2 linked regions of the Schizosaccharomyces pombe genome follow. Changing the gene in region 2 together with the main gene of any one other region gives a genetic interaction. Each region holds a gene or a part of one and is shown on either strand. Other genes may lie near its edges.

Region 1 (7,905 bases), on a different chromosome or scaffold from region 2:
AGTGTAGCATTCGTTTCTACGGCCTTGTTCCTTTTTGAAAAAATTGTCTGCGAGCTGTAATCAGTTGGATTATAACACAGCTGTTTTTTTTTATTTTCATTACATTTATTCTTTATCTTTATTTATTTGTTCACTTTATAAACCAATTAAATAAAAAGTAATAAAGAATGGCTAAACTTCCAAAAATCACTTCTCTCCTTCCACATAGCAGAGTTGTTTCAGGTATTCAGCCTACTGGAATTCCTCACATTGGCAATTATTTGGGATCTCTAAAGCAATGGGTTCAACTACAAGAGGAAGCCGCTCGTACCCCATTCTCCAAATGCTTCTTCTTTGTTGCCGATTTGCATGCTTTAACCGTTCCGCAAGATCCTCTTAAATTTAGACAAGCCCGTCTCGATATGCTTGCTGCCTTGTTGGCCATCGGTATAAATCCTCAAAAATCAACATTATTTTTCCAGTCCGATGTAAGTATTTTATTAATTTAACCAGATTGCATGAACTTGCACGCGTCAAGTCGGTTGAGGTAGTTATATTCTTCGTAAGCCGATTTTTTTTTGGCTAAAGCTTCGATTTATGCAAAATTGTTTCCAATATTTTAAATTATAAAGAAAAAGCTAATTATTCAAGGTTGCACAACATTCCGAATTGGCTTGGCTACTTGCCTGTTCAACTTCTATGGGTCAATTAAACCGAATGACCCAATGGAAAGTAAGTCGGGCATCTATTTTAATATTCTACTCAACGAATAATTGGGTGCCCATTTTTTACGACTCAACTAACGAATTATAAGTCCAAACTTCATCTTCATGATCATGACGATCTTTCCTTTTTGGATGCAAGCGCTACGAGCTCCACCCGATTTAATCTCGGCTTATTTTCCTATCCTGTTTTACAAGCAGCTGACATTTTATTATATGGGTAAGAGAGAGAGAGGAACCATTCGTTTGTGAAATAAATTATCTAATTTTCTAGTGCTACTCATATTCCGGTAGGCAAGGATCAGTCTCAGCATGTTGAGCTAACAAGGTCCATTGCCCGTTCTTTCAATTCATCATATAAAGAAAAAATATTGACAGTTCCGGATATAATTTTGAGTATGTTTACTTTAGGTTATTTTATATATATAAATATAATTATTCCTCTCCAACTAACAAAACACCATATAGATTCTTCCAGTTCTATAATGGCTTTGTGCCAGCCAGAAAAAAAAATGTCAAAATCCGATATCAATTCCAAAAACTATATACTCCTCAGTGATTCAACTGGAGAAATCCGAAAAAAGATATCTCGCGCTCAGACGGACAATATAAAGGGAATTACTTATGGTGATTCTAATAGACCCGGCATTAACAATTTGATTAACATTTTCGCCGCTATTAGTGATTCTACCCCTTCAGACATTGCTCAAGCCAATGCTTCCTGCTCTAATGCTGAATTTAAAGAAAAAGTATCAAGTGCAATTATCAGATGCTTGCAACCTATTTCTACTTCTTTCAATGAATGGAGACAAAATAGGGAGTTACTTCGTGATATAGCTAAAAAAGGAGCAGAGGAGGCAGTAGCGGAAGCTTCTTCTTGCATGCATAAGTTGAAGACATTAACAGGTTTGAGCGTATACTAATTCTTTTCATCAGACTTCATCTTTAAATAATGCATGAAAAGAAGCCTTTGTCCTTCATTTAATCCTCCCAATATTGAAAACGTTTCATCAACATTGTTGACTATTGTATTCACCGCCAAACACACGTTAAAAGTTGCTTTTCTTATCTCAGGATTTGTATGATCTATGTATTTTAAAACCACATGTCTGAGTAAGTCTTTTGTCTCAAGAAACTCCAAATCTTTTAAACGCATCAGTATAGCTGACAGTAGCATCAGTAACAATGGAGCAGATTTCTCTCCGGTTTCCGTATTCAAGGATTGAAGCCTTTGTTGAGTAAATTCGTACAAGCCTTGTAGGTCCGCTATTTCTGCAATAAGTGTTATGTTATCCTCAATTCCTGCCAATATGACTGGTTCATCTTTGCACTTTTCTGCCTTTTCGATCAGGATGCAAATGATATTGTGATAAGTGTGCATATCCACACCTTGATATCCCTGAACCAAAAATTCATGTAATAATATTAAACAATCAGAAATGTGCATAGCTGAATTATTCGATTCGATATAATGTAATATAGCAGGCAAAAGCCCATGACTATGATACAACATTGAAGGTGTTTCTTTGCAAACCTTAATGCAAAATTTTAAAGTTTTGGTATTCACTGACCCATCATTCAGTTCTTTTACCGCAGCTTCCAATGCTGCTACTGCATCGTCCAAGTTTTTGTCAACATTTATCGGACTCCCATTTTCCATCTTGTGCATACGTGACAAAATCCATTTATTTTTCGGTAATACATTCAAGGTGTGATGAAGAGGAGTTGAATATGCTTGTTCCTGGTATTTATTACTTTCCGATTTATTCAAACTTTCATATGCAGGTATATCGTGGAGAACTGATTCATCTGCATCGATAGGCGATATTGTTCCTGTCATTGGTGACTCCACTGGAGACTCTAGAATACCACCTTTTATTTCTGAAAAGCTGAGACTGAAGTCATTCATTGGTGTATTCATATAATCACGATTGTTATAGATTAAGCTAGACTGACCCACATTTTCTCTCATATTTTCTGAATGTAATTCATGAACTGAATAAGACTGATCATGGATATCGTAATCTTTCGCAGGAGAACCCAGTATTTCTTCATTAGCTGGCATAAAAAAAGTAGTTGGTTTATTAGGAGTTGAACTTGTTAATAATAACTTGTCTTTCCCTGAACTTTGGTCCACACTATTCAAAGAATCTTGATTTACGTTATCCATAAACATCGCATTCAATCCCACTGACTCGTCGACATTCTCAGTTTTTTGAACATTGATATCGTCTTTTTTACTTAATGCGTTGACATAACTAGTGAGCTCAAAACCTGTCTCTCTTTCTCCATTAATCTCTTTGAACGGTGTCCTTGTAAAGTCTTTGAATGAAGAAGAAACAGAATTAGAAATCGGGCCGCTTACATGATCCAGCGTATCTTTATTCAAGACTTTTGCAGCAGAGGAAGATAATCCAAATTGATTCTCGAACCCTTTTTCATTTAAAGCATTATTTTTTTGCAATAAACTTTCAGAATCTTGAGCAAGTGTTTCTTTTTTATTTACGAGAGTTTGATCAATATTGTGATCATCCAGTGATTCTTCGGAACAATTTGACTCAACTGGATTTTTACCTTCTTCTTCATTTTCCTTTTCTAAAGAAGTACCTTGCGGCGATTCAATATGAGTATCTTTAGACAGTAGCCCCTCTTTGCTTTCTATTGGCGATTGCATCTCAGTCTCTTTGGTCTCACCTTTGCCATGTGGTACTAGCAAATCGGTTTGTGAAGAATTAGATGAAGAACTAGTATTAAGAGTTGGTAAATTTTTGCTTAAGTGTTCTTGATGTGTCGATGACTTAGAATAGTCGAAAGCATCCTGCTTGCTCCAAGAGCTTACCAACTTTGTTCTTGATTCCTCGTTTAATCTATCAAGTAAGCCATCAAACATGAAAGTATCATGAGCTCTTAAAGAAAAAAGTAATCCACTGAGTGGTATCCAATTTTTGGAAGTTAATTTTGTCTTAGCAGTCATAGCCAATATTTTTGAGGAATAGTATCTCAACTTATCGGTTACAAAAAAAGGTTTGTTTTCCAATTGATTCAACTTTGTATCACTGATTTCTTTGAGCCATAAAAGACAACCATGTATGATAAGTCTTTTTTGATTAGTATTAAAAGGGAATACTTTAACATGTGGAGCCATGTTTGAGATGTTCATCAAAACATCGAAGACTATTGGGAAGTATTTATGTGCATCGTAATGACTTTTGACATATGGGAATGAAGCAAGTGCAAAGGAATGTCCAACATTTGATGGGTCATAAACACAAAGGAGAAATTGGGAAAGTAATGAAGCAATGTCAACATATTGAAATGTTAAGTCTAATAAAGAGTGACTAAAAATAAGTGAGTAACAAATCGAGCTTCCACTATAAAGCGCATCTGTTAAGTTGGACGATAAGAATTCCGCAGAAGGTAAGTCAACGCTACTTCCAGATAAAATCAATTCATATTTTCTTTGTATATTCTTTAGTAATTCAAAGGTTTTGGATTCATCCTTTATAGTAGCGCTGACGGACCTTTTAGATGGTATGGCTATAGATGGTGAATGACCAGAGGGTAAAGAGGGTGGTAAGCTAGTAGAATGAAATGCCTGAGAACGAGTGTATGGAAGAACCCTCTCTCTTGAGGCAGGAGTTGCTCTTTGAGGAAGACCTAATCTTCGAGTTCCGGATGAATTAGAAGAATTAGAAGAAGTTTCTTCCTTTTGAGACTTACTGAACGAGCGCAAATTTGACAAAGGACGTATTGGTGCACGCTTAGGACCACTAAAATTAAAAGAAGCAGCTTGACGATTAGGGTTCGCCAAATGTAATTGTTTTAACACAGAAGGTTCAAGAGTGTTAGTCAACTCTTCTTGAACGGAAGGAAAATATTCAGAAAGCTTCCAAAACGATTTTCGATAAACTTCCCGTACTTGAGAATTGGAGTCAGCAAGTCCGCGACAAATCAGTTTTTCAAAAGCTTTCAAATTAGTTTGCAAAGATGCAAGGTTCTTTAACTCGGGAGATAAGGATATCAACATAAAAATCCAATTACTTGAGAAAACGCGAAGTTGAGCATTTGTATCATGAGCTGCTAAAGAGATAAAGGATAAATTTCGCGACAAGACTCCACAATTTACAAGAATGGCAGCAAATGTTACATTAGCGGCTTGAGATGCAAGTTTTTTCGTAACTGAGCAAACTTTTAATAGGTTTGGTAGAATAAGTTCTAAAAAGGGATCAATGTTGCTTTTTAATATGATGGCCATCTCTTTTATCAGTTGTATGGCAGAAGAACTTAGAGTTGTACGCAATGACAACAAAGCCAACAAAATTCCAGGCAAAAGAGTTTTAAGAACTGAAAGTAGTTCTGGAAGATAATCAATACATGCATTTCCCCTTAGATATTGACGAAGTCGCAAAACTGAATCCTGCCTGACCGACCAATTTTGTTCAGTCTCACGACCTTCAAAGGCAGGAAGCATAGAAGCACTATCTTGTTCAAGTTGTTTGGAAAAATTTGCCAACAATGGCTTTACATTCTCCAACTCTACTCCAGGGTAAAGAGTAGCTACGGCTGTCATGAAGGGTGCGGGCTGAAACGAAGATGCTGAATTTTGAACTATTATTACTTCGGAGGAAGACGATATGAGAGACAGCTCTTCCACTAAGCTTTGTAAGATCTCCCTTCGAAGACCCGAGGTAGTTTCAACATCGGTTATAAATTGCATTTTAGCTGAAGTAGATAGATTTTTGTAAATCAGTAACAAAACTTCTTTCGCCTCCTCTCGTACAGAAGGGTTGGCATTTTCTAGGTTTATATAAAGAGCGGGACGCAAAGATTTTACGTCAAAACTGAGATGAGCATTATGTGCAAGGACGAACCATTTGAAACACTGAATTCTGGTTTCGGCACTTTTACTTGTTGTTGAAAGATGTATAAGACTCTTCTCAATTTCAGATGGGTTAAAGTGCCATAAGTCAATTAAGATATTAAGAACACGCTTTTGTAAATCGCGAGAGGCTATGTGATCGATGACAAGATTTTTTAGCATAGGTACGCGAAACTTTAACCATGTAGGATATTGGGCACGTAAACGGCGTAAAAAAGTTTCAAAGCATGCAACAGAAGATCTAAGGAGTAAAGGGTTGACGGTAGTTAAAGCAAGTCTGAAGCATTCCACGAACAAACCGAGATCTGCATTCTACGGCAAAAAAGCATTAGTAAATGATATGAAATTTTCGAAAACTAAAGAATAAACTTCCTTGAAATAAAAAACTTACGGGAATGTTGTTTTTATTAAAGAAAGAGCGAAGGGTATCTAGACATCTCGTCTTTTCATCGGTGGATGCTAATTTGTCAGTATATAGATGAAAGCTTTAGAATTTCATACCATTACTTTTAAGGAACTTTAAAAAATCTTGCGCATCCTTATCCGCCATCAATTACAAATATATTGATGAAACGAGCGAAACAAGAGAAACGTGAAGCGTTGTTTGCGAAGAGAATATTAAAAACTCGCTAGTAAGGAGTTTAAAAAAGAGGGCTATATCTATTACTAAGTAATTGTGTATTTCAAGTCTGGGCATGTGATGCAGTGGTAGCATGCTCGCTTTGCATGCGAGTCGTCCTGGGTTCAATCCCCAGCGTGTCCAAATTTTTTTGTGTTGTAAACACAAGTTTGAAATGATAATAGAAAGAATGATGTTGCCGGAAAAATCTATAGTGCAAGATTAAAAACGCTAAAATTAGTTGGACCAGCAAATCAATGTGCTTGTTATATAGATGAAGTATATAAAGGTGTAAAACTGTTTACTGTACGGGTTGGGTTTGGAAGTAGTAGAGAATGAAGAGTGAGATTTGAAATATGGGATTGATAAAAAAGGCGAAACGTTGAAGGAGAAATTTAAAAGCTGTAAATCTTTACTTTACTACGAAAGTTTAAGCTGTGCGGAAAAATGAATTGATTGAAGATATATTTAATGCTGGGATGGGCGGTAAACAACACTATGGTCCTCTGGCAGTTTGAAAATAAACAATGCAAGGCAATACAGATCCCAAAGTGCACTTCTCTCGTTAAATAAAATAGCAATGGCTAAACCAAATTTACAAAAAGTAAAAATACAAGGAGCAATAACAGAATCGTATACTGGAATGAAAAGGGCAGTTTGAGGCCCCCACATAGTACTTTGGAGGTATTAAAAAAGGAGATTTGTTAGTATATGGAGAGTGGCGCCCACATAGGTCTTTTGGGGACAAGTTGGAGAGATGCAAGTTGGAAGATATGTGAATGAGGAAAGAGGAAATTGGTGGGAATCAACGTGCAAAGCTGAAAGTTAATCGAACAAGAATTTTTGAATTACTAATAATTGTGAAAAAGGAAGAAGGATTTATGGTGTTGTAATAAAGATTTATGATAATGAAATTGTGTTTCTACTCTTAGTATTCATTATTTTAAATTTAGTTTATATGGTTATTCATTTTCAAATTATGGGTATCAATTTTATTTTTATTTTTTTTCATTTTTATTTGATTTTTTTTCATTTATTTACCACTCTATATCGCTCAAAATTGAATATCTGCCAAGTTTTGGACCTATGCGGCATTCTTTCTACGAACCATTCAATTCTTCATACCTAACCCACTATTCATTTCTAACCCATTCTGTCTAAATAAACACAATGATAAAGATTAAACTCTTTCTAATCAAATTGTTGCAAATTCATTCTCAAATCGCTAAACACCAAACATATAAGGGAATAGCGTTCTTTCCACAACCCCCTAACCAAGTTTAACGAAAATCATTAAACACCATCCACTTTGCTATCTTTTGGCGATCCCTCACAAATACACACACTATCTTCTTAGCTGACGATCCTCATGCCGATCCTTGTGTGCGCTACTACTGGTCAAAACGCAACAACCATATCGTAAAAATTGTACATCATTAGTTATTAGTAATTGTTTTGGAATACGAATAATTAATTCTCCAACTCTATTCTTAAAACAACGAATTACACTGTACCGCCTTACATCGAAATTCAGAGGGTAGAACAGGGCAAAGCAAAGCAAGGCAGAGTAAAGCACAGTAGAGAGACAAAGGAGAAAGAGGAAAAATAGCATGAGGAAACACTTTCGCCCGACGTTCAACAGCCTCAATCATGCCTTTTCGTGCCACAAAACAAGGGGAAAGACATTCGTTCATGCCTTGCATAAT
Region 2 (4,328 bases):
TAATTATGATTTCTGCTTGTAAAACAGCATCTGCTAAAAAGGTTACCGCCGTCCTTCCTGTATTCCCATATAGTCGTCAACCTGATCAAAAATTTTCCTTTTCCGGTGCTCCTTTATCTGACTTGCAAGATGCGGTTGTTCCATGCAAAAAGCAAACTGGTTATCACCCATGGATTGCACAATCCGGCACGCTAGTAGCTGATTTGCTTATGTGCTCTGGTGCTGACCATATAATCACAATGGATCTTCATGATCCCCAATTTCAGGGCTTTTTTGACATCCCTGTAGACAATCTTTTTGGCCGACCATTACTTAAACATTACATTTCTCTTAATATCCCGAATTATCATAACGCAGTAATTGTATCTCCCGACGCTGGTGGTGCCAAACGTGCTACTGCTATTGCTGATGCTCTGGGTTTGGACTTTGCTTTAATTCATAAGAATCGCCGACATGAATACGGAACATCTTTGATGCTTGTTGGTGATGTACAAAACAAAGTCGCCATCCTCATCGACGATCTTATTGATACCGCTTACACACTAGTTCGAGCAGCAGAGTTTGTCAAAGAACATGGAGCTAGCAAAATCTATGCTCTCGTCACTCACTGTGTTTTATCAGGAGATGCTATTGAGCGTGTAAAACTTTCTTGCATTGACAAGCTTATTGTTACAAACACCGCTCCTCAAACTATTACACCAAGTGGATGTTTTGACATAATCGATGTCGCTCCTACCTTTGCGGAGGCAATTCGTCGCATACACAATGGTGAGAGTATTTCAATACTGTATGACCACAATCAAGTTTGGGTTTAACTGTACGTTGTTCATATTATTTAATTTGTTTTGATCTAGTTGGCTTAAGACTATCCGATTTTTTTTGATACTATCAATTGTCCTTTTTCTTTACTTTAACTTTAGACAGTTACATTGGAAATAATTATTATTTACTTTGAGTTGACAAAATGATTATCAAGCTAATTTCCTAAAACTAATTTCAACTTAGCTAATCTCTAGTGTAAAACTGCTAAATATAAGGTTCTTCACGACCATTATATATGTACAAGCTATGTAGAAACTATATAGGCAGTCTAATTGCACGATTTCGTCATGTTTCATACAAAAAGCCTAAAATTGTCTGGGTAATGAAGCTTGTAGGTATTTCTATACATTTTAACAGTATGTACGCATACTGGTTAGACGGAAAAAAGATGAACAATAGAAATGGTGATAAATGGAGGAGCGAATCAACAAAACATAACTATATTCAATAATTTTTCAAACGTGGTCGGGAAAGGACGAATGGAAAAAACAAAAGAATGTCAGTATAAAAGAACATGGTTATCACATGATTAAATATAGTAAACAGGCAGAAACGACAGGAATTACAAGGTTATCGTCAAGACCCCACACATCCATAGCTTCTGCAAAGGCACCAATAAATCCATTTATCAAGCAAAGCCAAGGGAAAGGAATTCTGCTTTGAGCGGCCAAGCTGTCAGGACCGGTACGAAACAAGCCCCAGTACACATAGCAACAAAAAACACCACAAACGAATGCGCCCAAACTTCCAGCCAAACTCTTATTTTTGGCAATTTTCGGGGTATACTTGCCCCATTTTCGACCAACGGTTGAGGCAGTAGTGTCACACCATGACAGTAAAAGGACACTCATTACTGCTATCTCCTGAACTTAGTTAGTAACTATGGCATAATATATAAGTAAAAGAAGAAGGAAGGTGAAGTTAGGAAAAGATCAAGCAAGGCAAAGTAGATTTGAGTAATCATGATCAAAAATACTAACTTAAACTCTATGCAACAACAATATGCTTGGTCTGACAAATACTTAGAATAGAAAATCATTCTCCGTGAAAAAATGGGTTCTATAGAGTAGTATGTCCAGTAAAAAACAAAACCCTTCGGATCGCCTGGAACAAGGAAAACCATATCTTCCTTTTTCTTAAAGAATAATAACAGTAATGATAGACATTACAATGACTTTTACTTACCTCTGGAAAAACTTTTAAAACAATCCATACCCCGATCATATAAAAAATAACACCATTCCATGCATTTTTTTCGGACTCTCGCATCAAAGGACCAATAACGCGATTGTAAAGGCGGCTGAAAGCTGGCCAGTTAAAACGAATTACATCTCCAGTAAATGCAGGTATGAATCCAATTTCTATAACCGGTATGATTTGAGCAGCGTGGTATCCACATCCCTGAAGTAATAGAGCAAAAAATCCTAGACCCGGTTAATCCAAGTCATAAAAACAACTTACCAATAGAAGTATGGAGTGCTTTACGGGGAATTTCATGCTTTTTGGACCATTGCGACCACGTCAATTTAGTCGACATTGGATGAGTATTCGCTCAGTAGTGTTTTCCAATCTAAAGGTATTTCTAATGGGTAAAAAAAAAATAGCGATACCGGCCGTGATGCAAGGAATCGGTATATGCGAGGCAAGGAATGTTCTCGCATATAGCTCACTATTTTTTTATCGTTGCACTATTCCTCCTTATTCCGTAAACATTATGAGCTAAAGTCAAAATTAATAGAATGAATGACTTCCTGAGAGTCCCAAAAGAAACCGATTTATTTCCTTCATCAGTTGGAAAAAATTTATTTATTTATCACTGCCAATATAAGAGCTCGACTTCCTAGATGAATAGCATAGCTTTGAAAGTGATTCGCAGGATGACTCAGTATCAAAACGAATGGGTTATACACTATATGGCTTTAGATGTAAATATTCTTTAGATGATATATTAAGAGAATTAATAACTGCATCGACATACAGCCAATGCAGAATCATTTATAAGTCACTGAACCTTCAGAATAGCGCAACGTGGATTTCGCTACTTTACGAAACTTTAGATGCTATTGTGAGCTCTTACGTTTCGCTTTTTGTTGTCAAATATGGGAGAATTAATTGAAAATATAAAGACAATTCTCAAGTACGCGAAAGTTTCTATTAAAAAGTAAAATGATAACTTGAATATGTATGCTAATAAAATTCCTAAAAGAAACTGAAACCATTTTAGAGCTTATATCATTGCCAAGCAATTTTGAAAATTAAATGCGAAAACCATTATTCTTTAGTTGATGAACTAGAAGTAATAATTTTTATTTAATAATAATAAGTCTGCTCAAAATCAGGTTTATTTTCAGTTATTGGTTAATTGTTCAAATTGAAGTTTTATTAAAAAAAAAAAAAAAAAAAAAAAAAAAAACTATTATAATTTATGTTAAGACTACGTAAGTTCCTTAGGGTACGCGATTTGGTCTAGCAATTTAAATAAATAATAATAATATCAATATAAAAAAACTAGAAGACTTAAAAGCTTTTATGTTCACACGTGCATCGAAAATTGATTAAGGAATTCAACACATTAAATATATAATATAATAATAACAAGGTCTATGATTTAAAAAAAAAGAAAAAGTAATAAGTTCCATTAATTTAGATATCATTAAACAAGTATGTTGTTTGAGCATATGCAGTCAGTCCTACCTTTCTTTAATTCCCTGATTTCAATAAATTACTGAGATGCAATTTGTCCTCCATATTGTCAATATTATATTAAAGAGGTATACCAAAAATCAATTTCTCACTATGAGCTCCAAGCTGACAGTGTATCAAGCGACTACATCCATGGCGGATTCTCCTAGGGATCCGTTCCAATCGCGTTCACAGTTGCCTAGATTTCTAGCAACAAGCGTTAAGAAACCAAATTTGAAGAAGCCTTCTGTTAATTCTGCTAATGGTATGTGAAACTTATATTTGACGTTTGTTTATGGATCTGACACCCTGTAGAAACAAAAAATCCCAAACTAGCTTCTTTAGAATTTCAACTAGAAAACCTAAAAAATGATTTAAAGCGGAAGGAACTGGAATTTGAGCGTGAACAAATTGAGTTGCAAAGAAAACTTGCAGAAGAACATGAACAGAAGAATTCGTTACAGCTGCGTCTAACTCTAGTTGAAAAGCAACTGGAGGAGCAGTCTACTTCTTATCAAAAAGAAATAGAAGAAGTAAGAAATGAAAAGGAAGCCACTCAGGTGAAGATCCATGAACTACTTGATGCAAAATGGAAAGAGATTGCAGAGTTGAAAACCCAGATAGAAAAGAATGATCAAGCTTTAAGTGAAAAGAATCATGAAGTAATGGTCTCAAATCAAGCTTTGCAAATGAAGGATACCAATCTTACAAACCTTGAAAAACTCTTTGCGGATTCCCGCGAACAGCTTGAAACGAAGTGTAAGGAACTTGCGGCTGCCGAGCAGCAATTACAAGAGCTTTCAGTTCATAATCAGCAATTGGAA

The links. Genes that interact genetically often act in the same process or in processes that back each other up.
Region 1: mutations in ptp4 (region 2) and peg1 together harm fitness more than expected from each alone (negative genetic interaction), as found in Schizosaccharomyces pombe (one large-scale study listed by BioGRID).

What each region holds. Positions count from the first base shown.
Region 1 is NC_003424.3:3,151,159-3,159,063, forward strand, and holds peg1 (CLASP family microtubule-associated protein), read right to left. Parts: upstream 6,175-7,905; 5' UTR 6,131-6,174; coding exon 6,082-6,130; intron 6,040-6,081; coding exon 5,972-6,039; intron 5,893-5,971; coding exon 1,621-5,892; coding exon of another isoform or gene 1,170-1,620; 3' UTR 1,098-1,169; coding exon of another isoform or gene 976-1,097; 3' UTR 922-975; downstream 1-921. Other genes in the region: tryptophan--tRNA (Trp) ligase Msw1, read left to right, coding at 168-467, 631-711, 794-921, 976-1,097, 1,170-1,624. UniProt on the Schizosaccharomyces pombe protein: Microtubule binding protein that regulates the stability of dynamic microtubules. Required for mitotic spindle formation.
Region 2 is NC_003423.3:1,276,389-1,280,716, reverse strand, and holds ptp4 (phosphatidate cytidylyltransferase Ptp4), read right to left. Parts: upstream 2,373-4,328; 5' UTR 2,360-2,372; coding exon 2,284-2,359; intron 2,247-2,283; coding exon 2,008-2,246; intron 1,686-2,007; coding exon 1,344-1,685; 3' UTR 918-1,343; downstream 1-917. Other genes in the region: ribose-phosphate pyrophosphokinase Prs5, read left to right, coding at 1-815; mitotic spindle checkpoint protein Mad1, read left to right, coding at 3,658-3,769, 3,820-4,328. UniProt on the Schizosaccharomyces pombe protein: CTP-dependent diacylglycerol kinase that catalyzes the phosphorylation of diacylglycerol (DAG) to phosphatidate (PA). Controls phosphatidate levels at the nuclear envelope. Counteracts the activity of PA phosphatase ned1.